Lepisosteus oculatus: one gene and its partner. The protein of the gene in region 2 interacts with the protein of the main gene of each other region in a pairwise test. Links are inferred from orthologs where the notes say so. Each region holds a gene or a part of one and is shown on either strand. Other genes may lie near its edges.

Region 1 (8,456 bases), on a different chromosome or scaffold from region 2:
CCAATTCTAAGATGGGGATTATTAGGAGGCCATGATTGGTAAAGGCCAATGGGAAATTTGGCCAGGACATAGGGGTTACACCCCTACTCTTTTCGAGAAACGCCCTGGGATTTTTAATGACCAAAGAGAGTCAGGACCTCGGTTTTACGTCTCATCCGAAGGACGGCGCCTGTTTACAGTATAGTGTCCCCGTCACTATACTGGGGCATTAGGACCCACGTGGACCACAGGGTGAGTGTCCACCACTAACACCTCTTCCAGCAGCAACCTTAATTTTTCAAAGGATGTTTCCCATCCAGGTACTGACCAGGTACTGACCAGGCCCACACCTGCTTAGCTTCAGTGGGTTGCCAGTTGGGAATTGCAGAGTGATATGGCTGCTGGCCATATCTGCAACCCCCCAGTGCAAGCCAGAATCTAACAGGTGTCAGTGCCACCTTAAACAAATAAATTAAATTCAAGACATATTTTGCTATAACTCCTGCACTTTTCAAAGATGAAAAGTGGCAAGCCTAGTAATTAACCTCAGAATGGAACCAGGATTGTGATGATAAAGAGTTGATTTAATTCTGATCACACTGGGGTATCTTTAAAGTCAATAGCAGCATTCCTCTGCAAATATTCCAACACCATGACACAATCATTAAGGTTCTGAATTGACTTTTGATCCTTTCAATAGACACTTTTGCCTATATGCCAATGATATGATTTTAGTACCCAACAATAATGGCTCCAGACAGTACTTTCACACCTCTTCCAGAATTTATTTTTTATATTATTTTCTTAGTGTATATATTTTCCTCAAACATCATGTCAGATGTGCAAATATAAGTTTTTATATGCCTCATAATATTAAGTACCAGTATGAGATTCTTCACCTAATAGTCAGGGCTGGAGCTGTTAGTGTTGTAGCAAAATTAATTTCTCTGACCCCCATAGTTGAGCAAGTATTATCTGAGGAAGCAAACACTCAGGAGTAGAAGCCACTGAGAAGTTCTGATTCTAACCTCAGTGCAAATGACTGGTGCTCTTGGACACCTTAGAAATGTGCAACGGTTATACAGGAATCAGATGTAATATCCAGATATGTCAAAATATCTGCCAAAAAAAGATTTAAAAACTCCTCAGCAGGTAACAGAGTTCCAGTCAGAGTGCCTGCAGTGATCTGTCACCAACCAGCTACAGATTGTCAATACTGATCAGTAGGCTGCTGCAGAGGCCACTGTATGACCACCCCCCTGCTGCAGGGCTGGCCCAACTCCCACACTGCTGTCTGCTTGCAGAACAGCAACTCCAAAGGCAGGACCAAAAAGGTGCCCTGTAGTTTGTGATTGTCTCATACCAAAAACCCACCACCCATTTAACTACACATTCATCTGGGCTGTGTGCCTGAATCTACAGCACTCTATAGTGGCCTTAGATTTGAGGGCCCAGAGTTCAGTCAGTTTTTGGGTTCACCGCAAAAAAAGGGGCCTCTGGATTGCCTCCACTCTTTCGCAAGATTTCTTAAGTACTTTCTTTTAGGAATTCCATTGGCATATAAAAATGATTTAGTGACACACAGACAAATTTAATATAATCTTTTTAACTGTCTATGTGTATCGCTAGCCAGTAATGTATACTTCAGCAAATGATAAATAACTCTACCTATCAAGGGTATAATTGAGAATTATAGGTCGCAAAAAGATTAATATTGCAGCCTTTTCATCTGACACAAAATCTACATTTTCTGTTTTAATACTACCTATTTAAAGAGCAAGTAGAAGCTCAGGTGGATGTCTGTACAGGTCTACTAATCTGTCCGATGAACTAAAAACCAGCAAGCTTATTAACATCATAATACTGAATACTAATACATAATACTAAATACAACAGAATAAAGCAGGGCCTTTTTTTAGAGTCTCTGTTTATCTGTAGATATAGAAAAGTATGTTTCCTTCTAAAACAGTCTAATTATTTAAAGAAAATAGGATAAATACAGGTGCATACCACTTCCACACACGTTCTGTACAGTAAATCCATATTTCAGTCCTCTGTTCACTGTATTAAGATAAACACCTATACGTTAGTGATATTGTGATGGAATTGTACACGTAGACTTTTGTCCTCTTTAGAAATGCTGCACAGATATCTGCATTAATGTTAGAAAATATATTGGAGACTCTTCAAGGACTCATCCAGAATCTGAAACCACAGCTTTATAAAATTTCCAATTCTGATAATGTAGGTAGCCTTAAGAGGCCCAGTATAACTGTTATAGCTAACAAAGCAATGATATAGAAGAATAACTGAGCATAACGTCTTGTTAAACAGGTGCAAAGAAGGGTGGATACCCTTCGCATCGCTATCTGAACAATAGTCACGGAAAAAATTAAGGTAATATCCTTTAACAGACATAATGAAAGGACGGTTCACTGTTTATGCATATTACGGTTCTGCGATACAAAACGATTGTTCTATCGTTCATTTAACTAGATGACCCTGTTAGATACAGAATTACACTGTCACCTTCAGTGTCTGAGAGCAAGCAGATGATTCACAAAGGAAATGCATATGGATGGCGCACCTGCTGAAAACTGAAGATTCCGATCGATAATAAAATGACAATAGCCAAGCCACTTTTAATTCAATGCAGTCAAATTGTTAGTTTGTTTTAATCAAGGCAGTGCCATTGATAAGCAGTGATATTTGTAAATGAATTCAGTGAAAATTCTTTTGAAAGCGATGGCTTCTGTTTTTAACCTCATCTATACATAACATGCAAGTGTATTTAATAAAAAAAACACTGTCATGTGAATATTTAATTTTCTCTGCAACACATCCTTATTTTTATATTTAATGTCTTGGCAAATCTGGTTTTAATAGCACCTTATTCTCCCCAATCGTTAGTAAAACGCCCCGAAATCTTGAAGAGAGCGAGCTCTGGGTGGGGTCTCTCTGCATTATGCTGTAGTAGCATGTGCAGAGCTACTGTAGCGGGTGCGGCGTTATAAATAAGCGGTGGTGGTGCTTGACATTTCCAAAACCGAAATAAATTCGATCTCAGGTATGCACATAAAAAAATTGTTATGTTAAATGCAATTTAATGTAATCAGAATACGATGAAAATAACACGTCTTATTAAGCTCTGTATTCAACGGTGCAGGATCAAGACATTTCGGCCCAATTCATAAAATTAAAACCTTAAAAAACAACGACAATATAAAATATGACTTTTGTAAATAGGTGGTAACATATGCAATTCATTTCATTTTAAAATGCACATGTGTATATGCGAATTTCTTCTCATGCGTCAGTGCTGTTGCAATTGACCGCTCCCTTGCAATTGACAAAAGCCTGAGGTCCTTTGTGTTTCGGATGTCGCACCTACCTGTGTTAGATTTCATTGCCCCTTTTAAATTAGTAAAATATCCTTATTAAAATAATCAGCCTTCTCCTTACCCATTGCGGTTTTAGCCATGGTTGTGGGTACAGTTGTTCGGTACCAAGGAAAGCGGTGCAGTTTCAGTAAGCGGCTAGAGAAAGGACTGAATAAGGCACTGAGTCAGCAGATCAGCGCTCCGTGCGTAAGAAAGAGCAAGAGACAGGACTCTGTGAATTATTATCGCTTTTGTTCACAAGCAGATTGGCTGCCGTGGTCCCCTGACGCGCATCTTCAATCGAGAAACCGCCGTGCTACCGGCATCTTAAAAAACCTCCGACTGATTCTAGGTCGGAATTAGAGTTGAAATTTTAAATAGTTATAATAACCACCACACCCCTCTCATACCACATTTAACGGTGCACCTCAACCAACACCCTAAAAGCCCTGTGCATAACATTACTTTATTAGGTAGATATACTGAAATAAATAAAAATAAGACTGCTATTCAAGTTTTATAATAATATCTGGTGATTAATGATTATTTAAGGTTTTTTCTTTATTGTTAGCTTTATTCTGATTTATATACGGAAAAGCTTTTGGAGCTTTTATAAACGAGTGTATATGAATCAAAGGAGGAAATACAAGTTTATTGTAATGTCTAGCAATCATTTTCCAAAGAAAATGTGTCTAAAATACCGCCTAATTCATCTTAAATAGCAGCCATATCACCTTGCAACTCACAACTGGCAACCCACTGAAGCTAAGCGGGTGTGAGCCTGGTTAATGCCTGGATGAGAGACCTCCAGGGAAAAACTAAGGTTGCTGCTGGAAGAGGTGTTAGTGGGGCCAGCAGGGGGCGGTCACCCTGCAGTCCATGTGGGTCCTAATGTCCCAGTATAGTGACGGGGACACTATACTGTAAACAGGCGCCGTCCTTTGAATGAGATGTAAAACGGAGGTCCTGACTCTCTGTGGTCATTAAAAATCCCAGGGTGTTTCTCGAAAAGAGTAGGGGTGTAACCCTGGTCCTGGACAAATTTCCCATTGGCCTTTACCAATCATGGCCTCCTAATAATCCTCCTCTATGAATTGGCTACATTACTCTGCTCTCCTCCCCACTGGGAGCTGATGTGTGGTGAGTGTTCTGACGCATTATGGCTGCCGTCACATCATCGAGGTGGATGCTGCCCATTGGTGGTGGTAACAGTCCCCATTACCTGTAAAGCGCTTTGAGTGGAGTGTCCAGAAAAGCGCTATATAACTGTAAGCAATTATTATTATTAAAATTAAAGGATATGTCTATGACAAGTTTAACCTGGCCTGGTGTAGGAGTTACCTTCAAATCAGCATTTTGTGAAAAAATTGGAACATATGTTTTGATTAGTTGAGTCCATTAATTGGTTCACTTACCAACTTTAGCTTTCAAGAGTAACACAATTTTGTTGTTTTCATTTTGAATGAGCTCTAAACTCCTTTCATGGAACATACAGTGCCCTCCAAAAGTACTGGGACAAGAGTTCAAATTTTCCCATGTATGCTGTATTCTCAGGAAATATGGATTTCAAAATCACAAGATGAATATAAGACAAAAGCAGTTGTGTGTTTTTATGCATAAATCATTATACAACAACAGCACTTCTTTTGTTCAACCCCCCACGTTTATATAAGAATATTGTCACGATCGTCATCCCTCCTCTAGAGGGGGCTCTGACCCTTTTGTGTTTGTTTCATTATCACGTACACCTGTCCCTGGTTTCACCGGTATTATTTCAACCCAGTGCTCTGGAAGCTCGATGCTTTGCATTGGAAGATGGATGCCCAGAGGTCCGCTTAGCATCAAGTCGCCATACTGTACGTCCACGGCTTGAGGGCTTAGGCTTCCGAAAAGCGTCCAGGGCTCGGAGGGCCTGGCCTTGTCATTCTGTTTGGACAGTTGGACAGTTTTGGACTTGTTTGCCTGCGCTACCCCTTTGCACCTGGATCACTGTCGGCACCGCCTCCCTTTCGCCATTCCTTCCATTCCTCACTGTTATTTCCCAGTAGAACTTCTCCAGTCATTTCCGGATTATACCGTCTGCATAGGGTCCTGAACTACGCACTACAAGGAAGTCAGGACCGGCTCCCATTAAAAATATGTACTGGGACAAATGGGGTTTACAGGTGTTTCTAATTGTGCAGATGTTACATGTTGCATACGTTTCACACACAAGAGCTGTGAAGGTCTGGCGTGGTTGAGGTCTTTTGAAACTGCTTCTGAAGTCTTTCTCTTGAATTAGTCAGGAAAAACCAACCTGAAGACCAGAGAAGAAGGCTATTTTGAAAATGAGAGGAAAGAAAATGACCATCAGAAAAACTGAAAAGTCTCTTGGCATTCCAAAATCAACAATCTGGGATGTTTTTAACAAAAAGGAAACTGGAGAAGTCAATAACAGGCTGAGAACAGAGCGTCCAAAAAAGACAAATGAAGTGGATGATAGAAAAATATTTTTGTGAAAAAACAAATTGTTAGTGAAATCAAAAATCTCCAGAGTGTGGGGAGGCAAATTTTGAGCACCACAATCCATAGAAGACTTCACCAAAAAAAACCTGGAGGCTAGTCTTTATTGATGACTTAACTGAAGATGTTAGCAGTAGGGTACATTCAGACACATAGAAACAGATCTTGTCTGCAAATGTAAGAAAAAATGGCACCAGACTTATTGGGTGGCAGTTAATTATGCAGCAGGACAATGACCCAAAACATATTGCACGCTTAAAACAGACAGAAAATAAAACATTTTAAACTGGCCAAATCAATCACCAGATTTAAATCCAATTGAGCAAGTGTGACAGATTGAAACACTTGAAAGGGTTGAAAGTTTGGGGTGGTTTGGGCGTTCTGAATATTGGCCAGTGAGGATCGCTTTCGTTTAGGAAAGTCGGCAGTTAATTAGTTTTTGCCTGCTCAGGTATTATAGAGGGAGCTCATGCGGTTTTCTTTTTTTTTTCTAGCGTTCGGTTTTCAGTTTTTTTTCGGAGCTCGCGGTTAAACGGTTTAGAAATAAAAACTGCGTGTACGTTTTAATTCTTTAATCATCTCCCCTTTTTGAGGGGTGTAACACAAACATTATATTTGTTCAAAAGGAGACTGAAGGAAGAAAGCCTGACCAACAAGCAACGGCTTCAAGAGGCTGCAGTTAAAGCCTAGAAAAGCATATCAAGTGAAGAAGTCTGGTGATGTCAACGGGACGGAGGCTTGATGCAGTTATTGCAAGCAAGGGATTTGCAACAAAAGACTGATTTTTCCCTTCTTTAATTTAAAGTCCCAATATTTATGATCACCTAAATAAACAGGCGCCGTCCTTTGAATGAGATGTAAAACGGAGGTCCTGACTCTCTGTGGTCATTAAAAATCCCAGGGTGTTTCTCGAAAAGAGTAGGGGTGTAACCCTGGTCCTGGATATCAAGTGAAGAAGTCTGGTGATGTCAACGGGACGGAGGCTTGATGCAGTTATTGCAAGCAAGGGATTTGCAACAAAAGACTGATTTTTCCCTTCTTTAATTTAAAGTCCCAATATTTATGATCACCTAAGTAAACAGGCGCCGTCCTTTGAATGAGATGTAAAACGGAGGTCCTGACTCTCTGTGGTCATTAAAAATCCCAGGGTGTTTCTCGAAAAGAGTAGGGGTGTAACCCTGGTCCTGGACAAATTTCCCATTGGCCTTTACCAATCATGGCCTCCTAATAATCCTCCTCTATGAATTGGCTACATTACTGGGGGGGGGTTTGAACACAGCACATGCTTTAGTTGAAAAATTGTGTGTGCAAAATATATCCTAAAAAGAAAGGGTGACCTTCTGAGCTCAGACTCAGAAGAATTTCAGGTTCTTTGTGGATACAACAGGGAAATGCCAATTTTAGGTTTTTGTCTCAATACATTTGGAGGGCATTGTAATTTCTACTTAGTGGCCAAAGTGAAATTGTTTCAGGTGTTTTAAAAACGGACAACCTAAAACATTAAAGATACACTGTATTTAACTGCAAGCTTAACAACGTACTTGTAGGACCTCATTTATAAACTACTGTATGTTCAGTTTCAGGTACCATAAGAAAAAAAGGATATTATCATCCAAAAGTTCAAATAACAACAACTGGAATGCAAGGATTATGCCTGTCTCCTGACACCAGGAATCTACTGATGGGGTAGGGTTTTAAGAAATATCCATCTACCCATTTTCTAACAACCTCATCCAATTCAGGGTCACAGGGGAGCTAGAGCCTTCTGAGGCGCAAGAAAGGATACCAGTAGTATAAAGCGATACCTTTCATCAAACTTTTTTGACAGGTGCCACACCCCCTTTTTCAGCCACTGGGAGTCCACGGTGGGGCCGATGTCCCACCCCCTCAGGAGCCAATGGTGTGTTGTTAAGGGGCAGATGTCCCGCCTTCCCCCTGCTGGTCAGGCCTGAGACTCATGGTCCAAAAGCCCCAGTCACCGCATCCCTCGATTTATAAATAAGTGTATGAAAGCATGTGTTAGGGTTGGAAGGCGACCATGTCTTCTGCGGGGTTGACCACTCTATTATAACCCTAGGGAATCAGGGAGTTACGGCGGCGTGGGGAGTCTGGTGAGGGCCACGAGATCCCGGGGTGTGAGCGTCAACAACCGCGGCCAGGTGGCCAAGTGGTTGACCCTAACAGCAAGTCTCAAAAAAAACATCAAGGGCATGTAAGCACTCACATACACACACAGTGACCACGTAGTCTCATGGAAAGAACTCACAGGACAAATAGCATGTGAAATGCGAACCACTTATTTCATGAATAGGTTTTCAAACACAGAAACATCGTAGTACACACTTTTCACAAACGTTAAAGACTCCCGTTTTCAAGCATGTAAAATGCGAACCACTATTTCCTTTATAGGTTTTCAAACACAGAAACATCGCAGTACACACACATTACCTGCTCCCGTTTGCAATCAACAATTAAATGTTGGTGCGGAAAATTAGTTCGGTACACATAACCACCACCCCAACATTGCTTAGGACTTTGAGGCATCTGAAAAAGCATTCATAATGCCCTTCCGCTCCCCATGTCTAAAACCATGTG
Region 2 (7,934 bases):
GGTTGTGCCTCTGCAGCTCCCGGCACAGGCTCTCCAGCTTGCTGCGGGCCAGGATGGCTTTGCTGTGCTCGTTCCTCAGGTGGTCCTTCTCCTGGATCAGCTGGGTTTGCTTCTTCTGCAGCGCTCTCATCTGCTTCTGCGAGTTCCTGTGTTCTTCCAGCTAGAAGAGGAAGAATGACCTGTGAGCACTTGGAAAAAATCTCACCCCTTGAGTCCTTACACCTCTCGGGTTCACGACACTCACCAGCTCGGCATATTTCTTGCAGAGCGCAGCCAGTTTCTCCTCTGGGGTGCTGAGGGTGTTCAGGGTCTGCATCAGCAGCGTGATCTCCTTTCCTGAAGGACAAAGGAAGTGCACAACTTGAGCAGGACCACTGACATTACCGAAGACAGGCGGGTGGTCATGTAGGTTCCAAACCACACGTGCTGGACAATGTCTCGTCTTTGTTCCCCCCAGTTCAATCTAAACTATTTCAACTGAGTCTAAAGCCGCAGGAGAACTGCCCCACTGCTCCAAAGTGCAGTGACCAGCGAGTGAAAAGTCTTACCGAGGCCCTTAACCTTTTTCTTCTCCTGCGGTTTCTTCTGGTCTTTGTCGGCGACGTCCCCGTTGAGCTTGGGCTCCTCCGTCTTGCCGTCTTCCTTCTCCGCCAGGCCGTTGACCACCAGGCAGTCCAAGTCGGGCTCGCCATTGCGGGGCGACTCGCTCCTGCCCTCTGCTGGCTCCGGCGGCGCCCCGTCCTCCCCGCTGTCCTCCTGGCAGTACGTGTTCAGGATGTCCTCCAGCTGCCGGCTCAGCTCCTCCGACACGTCGCGGGACACCGCTGTGGAGGGCGGGACGCGCACCGTCAGCGCGGCGCCGACACCAGTAACGGGGAGTAACGGCTGCAACTACTGAGGCAGACACTCTCGTCTAAGCCGCTCAAGCTAACCTCACTTAGAGACACAGTCTAACAGTTCTAGGTTTCAGATCGAAATGTTTTAAGATGCTACATTTGTATCTGACGGACATTTGCAGGTCCCATCAGGACACAGGAGAGCATGGAAGGAGTGTAAGCACTCTGAATGGTGGTACGTCTAAGTAACGCTGGCACATAAAAAGATAGAAGCATCATCACCTTAAGACCTGAGGAATAAGGGTTTAATTGGAATAATAACTCTTCTAATAGTTCACCAACCACAAGGGATCCTAAGGCTGTTCATGACAAAGAAATCTAAAATAACAGCTACATTGTGGTCACCTCTAACAGGGACTTGAGAGCTCTTTCCAGAGAATGTCAAGCCTTTCACCAGTGGGGCCTTTAAGTCATCTTTGACCTTCAGGACAAGAAGCAAACATCACATATGGACATTCTGGATTGTCATTTCATCTGTTTCCTAGTGCCTCGGCAAGGTTTTGATATTTGTTCCCTGCTGGGGAGCTGCAATACTCTAAGGACACTGCATTCGTAAAGCCTGCGATTTGACGAGATGTGCAATGAAAAACATCTTTTACCTATCGCCGGAATAAAAAAATAGATTCATGTTCACTGGTGATTGAAGATGTTTAAAGCCCCCATCAGTTTGCTATTTCTGGTAGCTCCAACGCAAGCCTGGACTGCAATCATGTGAGCTACCCTAGCAGGGACCAAACCTATCCCCCCACTGGCTGTTAGACTGTCTCCACTTTATTCAACTTCAATTCCTTCTGTCCTGAACTTCAGCCAAGACCAGGACTAGCTGCTTAAATGGTTTCCCACAAGACTAAGAGGTTGGGGTGGTAGGTTCTGTTAGAAGACATACAGTGTGAAGTAGTGTATGATCTCCGGGTTATTTCTCTGCAGCGCTCCACAGATGCGAGAGCAGATTCCGACTTACCCCCGTTCTTGGCCTGCGTCTCCGGAGGCGGAGTGTCAGGCTGCTGGTTGTCCGCAGACTCCTGGCTGCCAGCGCGCTCCAGAGCCGCCCCTTCCCCTTCTCCGGGCTGAGCCCCACTGCCTCCGCACAGCTGCTCGGGCCCTTCACTGTCCTGCTTCTTCATCACGGCGGCTGCCAAGAGGAAGGGCAAGGCATGATGGCTGGAGCTCTGCAGTGGCCGCCGTTTTCACTAGACGCTGCTGTTGCTGCGGTTACACTGCAACTGAGGTGGTGATGATCACTACCCATGCCTGACAGTGACCTCTAAAAAGCCAGAAATTCCAATGGCTTACACGTCATGTATGCAAGGGATTACCTTTTCAATTTTTAATTTCAAGGAAAAGGCTCGGGCGGCACATTGGCGCAGTGGTTAGTGCTACTGCCTCTCAATGCTGGGGCCCTGGGCCCAGTACCGGACCTGAGCTGCTATGTTCACGGAGTTTGTACGTTCTCCCTGTGTTTGTGTGGGCTTCCTCCCACAGTCCAAAGACATGCTGGCGGGGTAACTGGGCTCTGGGAAAACTGGCCCAGATGTGAGTGTGTGCGTTGGTATCCGTGTGTGCCCTGCGACGGACATGGATGGATTTCAAAGACAACATTTCCTCCTCTCAGAGCAGAAGAGAAAGAACAACGAAATCGTGAAACAGACACAGAGCTTCTTCTGAGCGCGCACCCCTGCTCCCTTCGACACCCTTCAGGCGACAGGCACACGTATCCTGTCATGAGCTACGAACCCTATTAAGAAATTCATTTCTCTTGCGTGATTTTACATCATTCCAGGGGATAGATCCCCAAATTAAGCAAGGAGCACGTTTAGAAATGCGCACACATTTCCTGGATTTCGCAGAACCAAACCAAGATGAAGCCAAACGTGAGAAACAGGAGACAGTGCAACAACTGACTCGGTCTGTTACTTCAGTGACACGTTTCACACGATTAGCCGTTTCTTTGAAGCCACTTACACCGATTTCAAAACCAGCCTCTACAATATTATTCCGGATCAAGGCTCCAACAGGACTGCAGTAAGACCCCGATACGCCTGCGTACCTACACTAAAATTGACATGAGATTCCGTTGTGACAACGTTATTTTTTGTTTTGGAAATCACTGAACTTCAGTGGCTCCAACCGCCTGAAGCCAGCCCTACGACACTTAAGTGTCTTATTAGTATCGGACATTGTTTTATTTTCGCTTCGTGTATCAATCCAAAGTTTCTGTTAACCCCTCAACAAATAGAATCATTACTTTAAAACATGCGTAGGGTTGTCCATGATAACGCATTTGAACAGCATCACGTAGGTGGGACAACACGATTAAAAAAGGCAAATCAAGTTACATTTGGCCGACTGTAATAGACAGTCCCCTTTAAAACCAACAGTGATACAAAACTAGTAACAGACTTTCTTAAGCAAAAAAAGGGGTGAGCTAAACTTAAATCTCTTTAGAATATAATCGAACAAAAAATCCATGTGGATCACAGCTAACGACAAAAGTCACTACGATATCAGCAAAATAGGATTACTGAAAAGAACCGAATAATTCTTCATCACGTTCACTAGCTACTCACAACTTCACGTTATCGCCTATACATACAAAACACAGTTTCGTAATTCCAGTCTTGCTAAAAAAAACTAGGCATTTTGTTATTTCTACGACACTTACCACTGAAATAATATCTGTATCGTCTCAAACGAGCAAATAAAACACTTCAACACTCTGCTTTCCTGCCAACTGACACACCGGAAATACCGGTGAATTGGTACATTCTGATTGGCGACGCCGTAAGCGGATGTGCAAGATAAAAGGAAAAGACGTTGGGGGAAAGTTGGAGAGGGTGGGCCGGAGTTTCGCAATGCTTCATGGTCGATGTAGTTTCTTCCTGCTTCTAGAGGACTTCAATCACCACAATGCGCTTGGAAAAATAAACTTTCTGTTTCCCATAACCGTGACACAAAAAGCTGTTGGTAAAAAGCGAAACTTGCTCAGATAAAACAATTATGGCACTCCTAAAGCTAACAAATTCGCCCCCGGACACAAAAGACAATTCTAAATTATTGTCCAGATCTAAATAAATAATGATAACCGCTCATACTCTATTATTGGCACCTGTTAAGGTCTGTGATATATTTTATGATTTGAGCATAATACTTTAAGCAGTGATACCAGCGTGTAATGTTAAAATAAACCTTTAAGGTAGTGGTAGTATATAGCCATAAATGAAACTTTTTTTTTACTACTTTAGGTAGGGTTTCCATTTGAACGTTCAAAAGAGAGGCCACTCTGTCGACGGATGACAGTGGTATTTGTAGCAGGGTCTATTAAAGTATCTAAGGAAAAAAATCTCTGTTTTGAAAATTCCTCCTGGACAGATAATTAAGAACTACAGGAGTGGACACGTCTGGAAAAAGACGTCTGTATGGTAACCCCACTTCATGGGAATCCTAACAAAATAATACATTTTATACATGTACATGTATTATTATACAATAATACGTGTTTTTTCACACATTTGAAAATTTCCAATGGTTCTCTGCAGCCCTGAAGAGTTTTTTTTCCTGCTTTCTGATGTATTTACGCTTGGATTTTATATTTATCGATTTTTTTTTAACAGCTTTATCCAGTGCTTGGTCACGGAGAAGCCAGAGCCTATCCTGACAAGTGCCTGGGGTCCAAGCAGAGTATTCCGTAGGTGGGACACCAGTCCCTGGCAGGGCACACACACACACAGTCACACTCACGGCAGGGCCAACTTTCCCAGAGGTCAGTCAACTTACCAGTATGTGTTTGACTGCAGAAGATTGCCACAGGGACTGTGGGAGCAAACTGGGAGAACCTGGAGGATCCCCACAAGAAATGGGGGAGAACATGCAAACTCCACTCACATGGCACACAGAGAATTGAACCCAGGGCCCCAGTGCAGTCGGTATCTTTGACCCAAACGCATCCTCGCCTCGCAGAGGCTGCCAGACTGGAATATTCCAGCAAGGACTGCTCCATTACGGAGGGGGTGTGACCCTGATCCAAGATCCTGATCTGCAACCCACATCTTTGCATGTGGGCGTCCTCTGGGTACCTCATTTTCAGGATGGACACGGTGTTTGGCATGTAATGTCTCAGCACTGCACTAATGCTGTTTGTGACATCTGAAGGAGATTGGAGATTGTCTCAGTAAAACGTCACATCCCAGTCTGAAGCTTGATCACGCTCTGCATGAGACTATCATACGGCAACACACATGTTCCTGTTAGGAAGCAATATGTCATCTTACTGCAGAGGCGCCACAAGTTTCAGTTGAATCAATGGGGCCTATACACTGGCCATGCAGCTCAAAGAAGTCTTGAGGCTAATCATAAGACTTTATTGATCCCAAAGGGAAATTGAGGGATCGGATTAATCAATTAAATTAAGATCAGACAAGATTACTTTATTAGCCATATACAATTTCTTGAATTAGGAATTGCTCTTTTCGCATACCCCAGCTTGCTCTCCATAGGACACAGGCACACAGACAGAGAGAGAGAAGCTTGGGGTCAGCCATTTAGACAGCACCCCTGGAGCAGTTGGGGTTAAGGGCATTGCTCAAGGGCCCAATGGATTAGGATTCCTCTGGCGGCCGTGGGATTTGAACTGGCTACCTTCCAGCCACAGAGCCACTGCCCCGCCCGTTAGGGGTAAATACTTCCTGGTCCCAGTTTTTATGTAAAGGATGTTTGCAGTACATGCAACATGTGAATCACAATTAACTGGATATGTTCAGAATTTATGTCAGTTTCTTCTTCAGGGCAGTGTTTTCTGTTTCACCAAGGAAACACAACATGAAACATCAGAATGCAGATTTTATTTTAATCACACTGGTATATATGCATCTCTCCCGATTCTGGTGCATACTAAGGTATGCAAGACAATTGGTAGATTTTGTAAGTTCCTATAACTGGTCACAACACAAAGAAAACACACAAAGATTGCAACAAGATTTCAATGACATTTTTATTGAACTTTTATTCTCTTACAGTATTTGTAACCCTACATAACCTTTTTCATTTATTTTGTTAATTTCTGTTTCATGTTCATGTATATGTGTATCATGTTCTGTTCGTGTTCACGTCTGAATCTGTCCTCACACTCATTCACATGGTCGGCTGAAGAAGAGTCAGTGTCAAAGCGTCAGTCACAAGCAAGCCAAAATCAAATACAAAAAGAAAATAAAGGACCAAAAAGGGATCTCAGGGTTATCCAGTATAGCATATATCAAATCTGCAGAAACACTTTCTACAGCCCTTTCCAATTCTGTCCTCACTCCCCACCTCATTACAAGTACGTGATCCATCCTGAACCATAAAACTCTGCTCTGTGGCACATATGAAACATGCATAACTACCCTGTAAACTGAATTGGAATACATACAATAAGTGTTTAAAATATGCAACATAACAGCACAAACACCTTGCATAAAAGCTCTGTAAAGGAAACAGTAAAATAATAACACCAAGACGTATCGGAAATGGAAGCAAGACAGGAAGGAGGGAATTAAAACAGACTCGAAGGATCAGTATATGGATGTGGCTATTTTAAGCTACTGGCTGATCCTGATTTGTGGAATTCATGACCGAAGACAACGAACACTTCTGCAGTGTGAGAATACAACTATCAACACATGAAGTTAGTGCTACAACTTGCAACTGGATTTGTTCTTCCAAGTTTCTTGATTGATATGTAAGAAACAAACCTGTGCTTAAAATTCCACCAGATTTGTAGAATATTCCCAACCACTTAAACGAGAAGGGTGGATTTATCCTCTGTCCGCACAAATGGGGGGAGGTTTCTATTGCTATATCTGCATGGTTCATGTTTTCACAGTTTGATTCGGGAGGTCTGTAAGGAGATTTCTTTAACTAGAAATTCAGAAATTCCGCCAGTCAATTTTATCCCATCCTAATCCCAGCTGACTAATGTCAGTAACCCCCACTGACCACCAACATTCAAAGAAGACTGGAAAAAAAAAAAATCTGCAAAGCTGGTGAACAGACTGTGGAAGTCTAATGACTGACCAGAGGTTCGAAAGCCCAGAAATACTTTGTGCTGACCATTCTGTGACCACAACCACTGAACTGAGACAAAAACCAGAAGAGCTTGCGATCGCTCGACATGGAAGAGCCAAGCAGGTGCTGCCCAAAAACCGTGGCTAACTTCTGCAGCATGCTGCCATGAAAACAGGGAGGTGCACCCTCAGCACGGCAGGTAAGGTTCATACAAAAACAATGACCAAAACTCCGGATACAGATACCATGGCTTCCATCACTAGCAGATCTGAAAACAGTACTACACAATAAATTAGAAAAACAGATCAACCCGACAATTAAATAATTCTGATCCAATATAAAGAATTTAGTGCAAGAACAGTAAAGGACACCACTTTTTTTAAAAAAATGTAGCAGGTAATGTAACTTCATCAGTTAAGCAAATAAAGCAGCAAAGTTTGCACAAACAATTGTGCACATTCAAGTACAAAACAAGAAGTCATAAAGACCAAGAAGATACTCAGACAAACCTTCAGGGACTTTATTGGTCAGATTGGCACTTCAGTGAATAGAGGAGTGCATTACTCTTTTTTGTTCCAAACAATATTCTCACATTCTTCTTGTGGATATGTTTCCTGTTATTTACATCTACAGGTGCAAGTAAACTCTGGCTCGCCAATCCAGTAAAAAGCTCTCGGGCTCCACCCTAAAGCAAAAGGAGATGTTTTTCTCCATTCCTTCTCATTTAGACATTTTTATTAGTAACACACCTGTTGCTTAGTTATTTTTACATGCCAGTGTATGGCACTTTCTTGTAGAACTTTTTTTCCCCCCAAAATACCCAACACCTATAAAAAAAAATCCAAGACCTAGATGTATAAAAACATCTCATTTTCAAACAATCTGGAATATAGCCAATTGACAACGTAGAACTAAAATGTACAAAAACTGTCAATAAAAAAAAATACTGGAATATTAATAGATATTAAAAGGAAAACATGAAGATGGGGAACATTATCA

Evidence for each region. The genes of interacting proteins can lie anywhere in the genome.
Region 1: the proteins of txlna (region 2) and stmn2b interact in binary tests that used the Homo sapiens proteins (3 or more experiments, as listed by UniProt). The two-hybrid records come from large-scale screens. The link is inferred for Lepisosteus oculatus from reciprocal best matches to the Homo sapiens genes TXLNA and STMN2.

What each region holds. Positions count from the first base shown.
Region 1 is NC_090705.1:27,026,479-27,034,934, forward strand, and holds the start of stmn2b (stathmin-2b), read right to left. Parts: upstream 3,631-8,456; 5' UTR 3,461-3,630; coding exon 3,442-3,460; intron 1-3,441. UniProt on the Homo sapiens protein: Regulator of microtubule stability. When phosphorylated by MAPK8, stabilizes microtubules and consequently controls neurite length in cortical neurons.
Region 2 is NC_090706.1:3,311,109-3,319,042, reverse strand, and holds the start of txlna (alpha-taxilin), read right to left. Parts: upstream 3,670-7,934; 5' UTR 3,559-3,669; intron 2,029-3,558; 5' UTR 2,021-2,028; coding exon 1,858-2,020; intron 825-1,857; coding exon 549-824; intron 337-548; coding exon 245-336; intron 161-244; coding exon 1-160. UniProt on the Homo sapiens protein: May be involved in intracellular vesicle traffic and potentially in calcium-dependent exocytosis in neuroendocrine cells.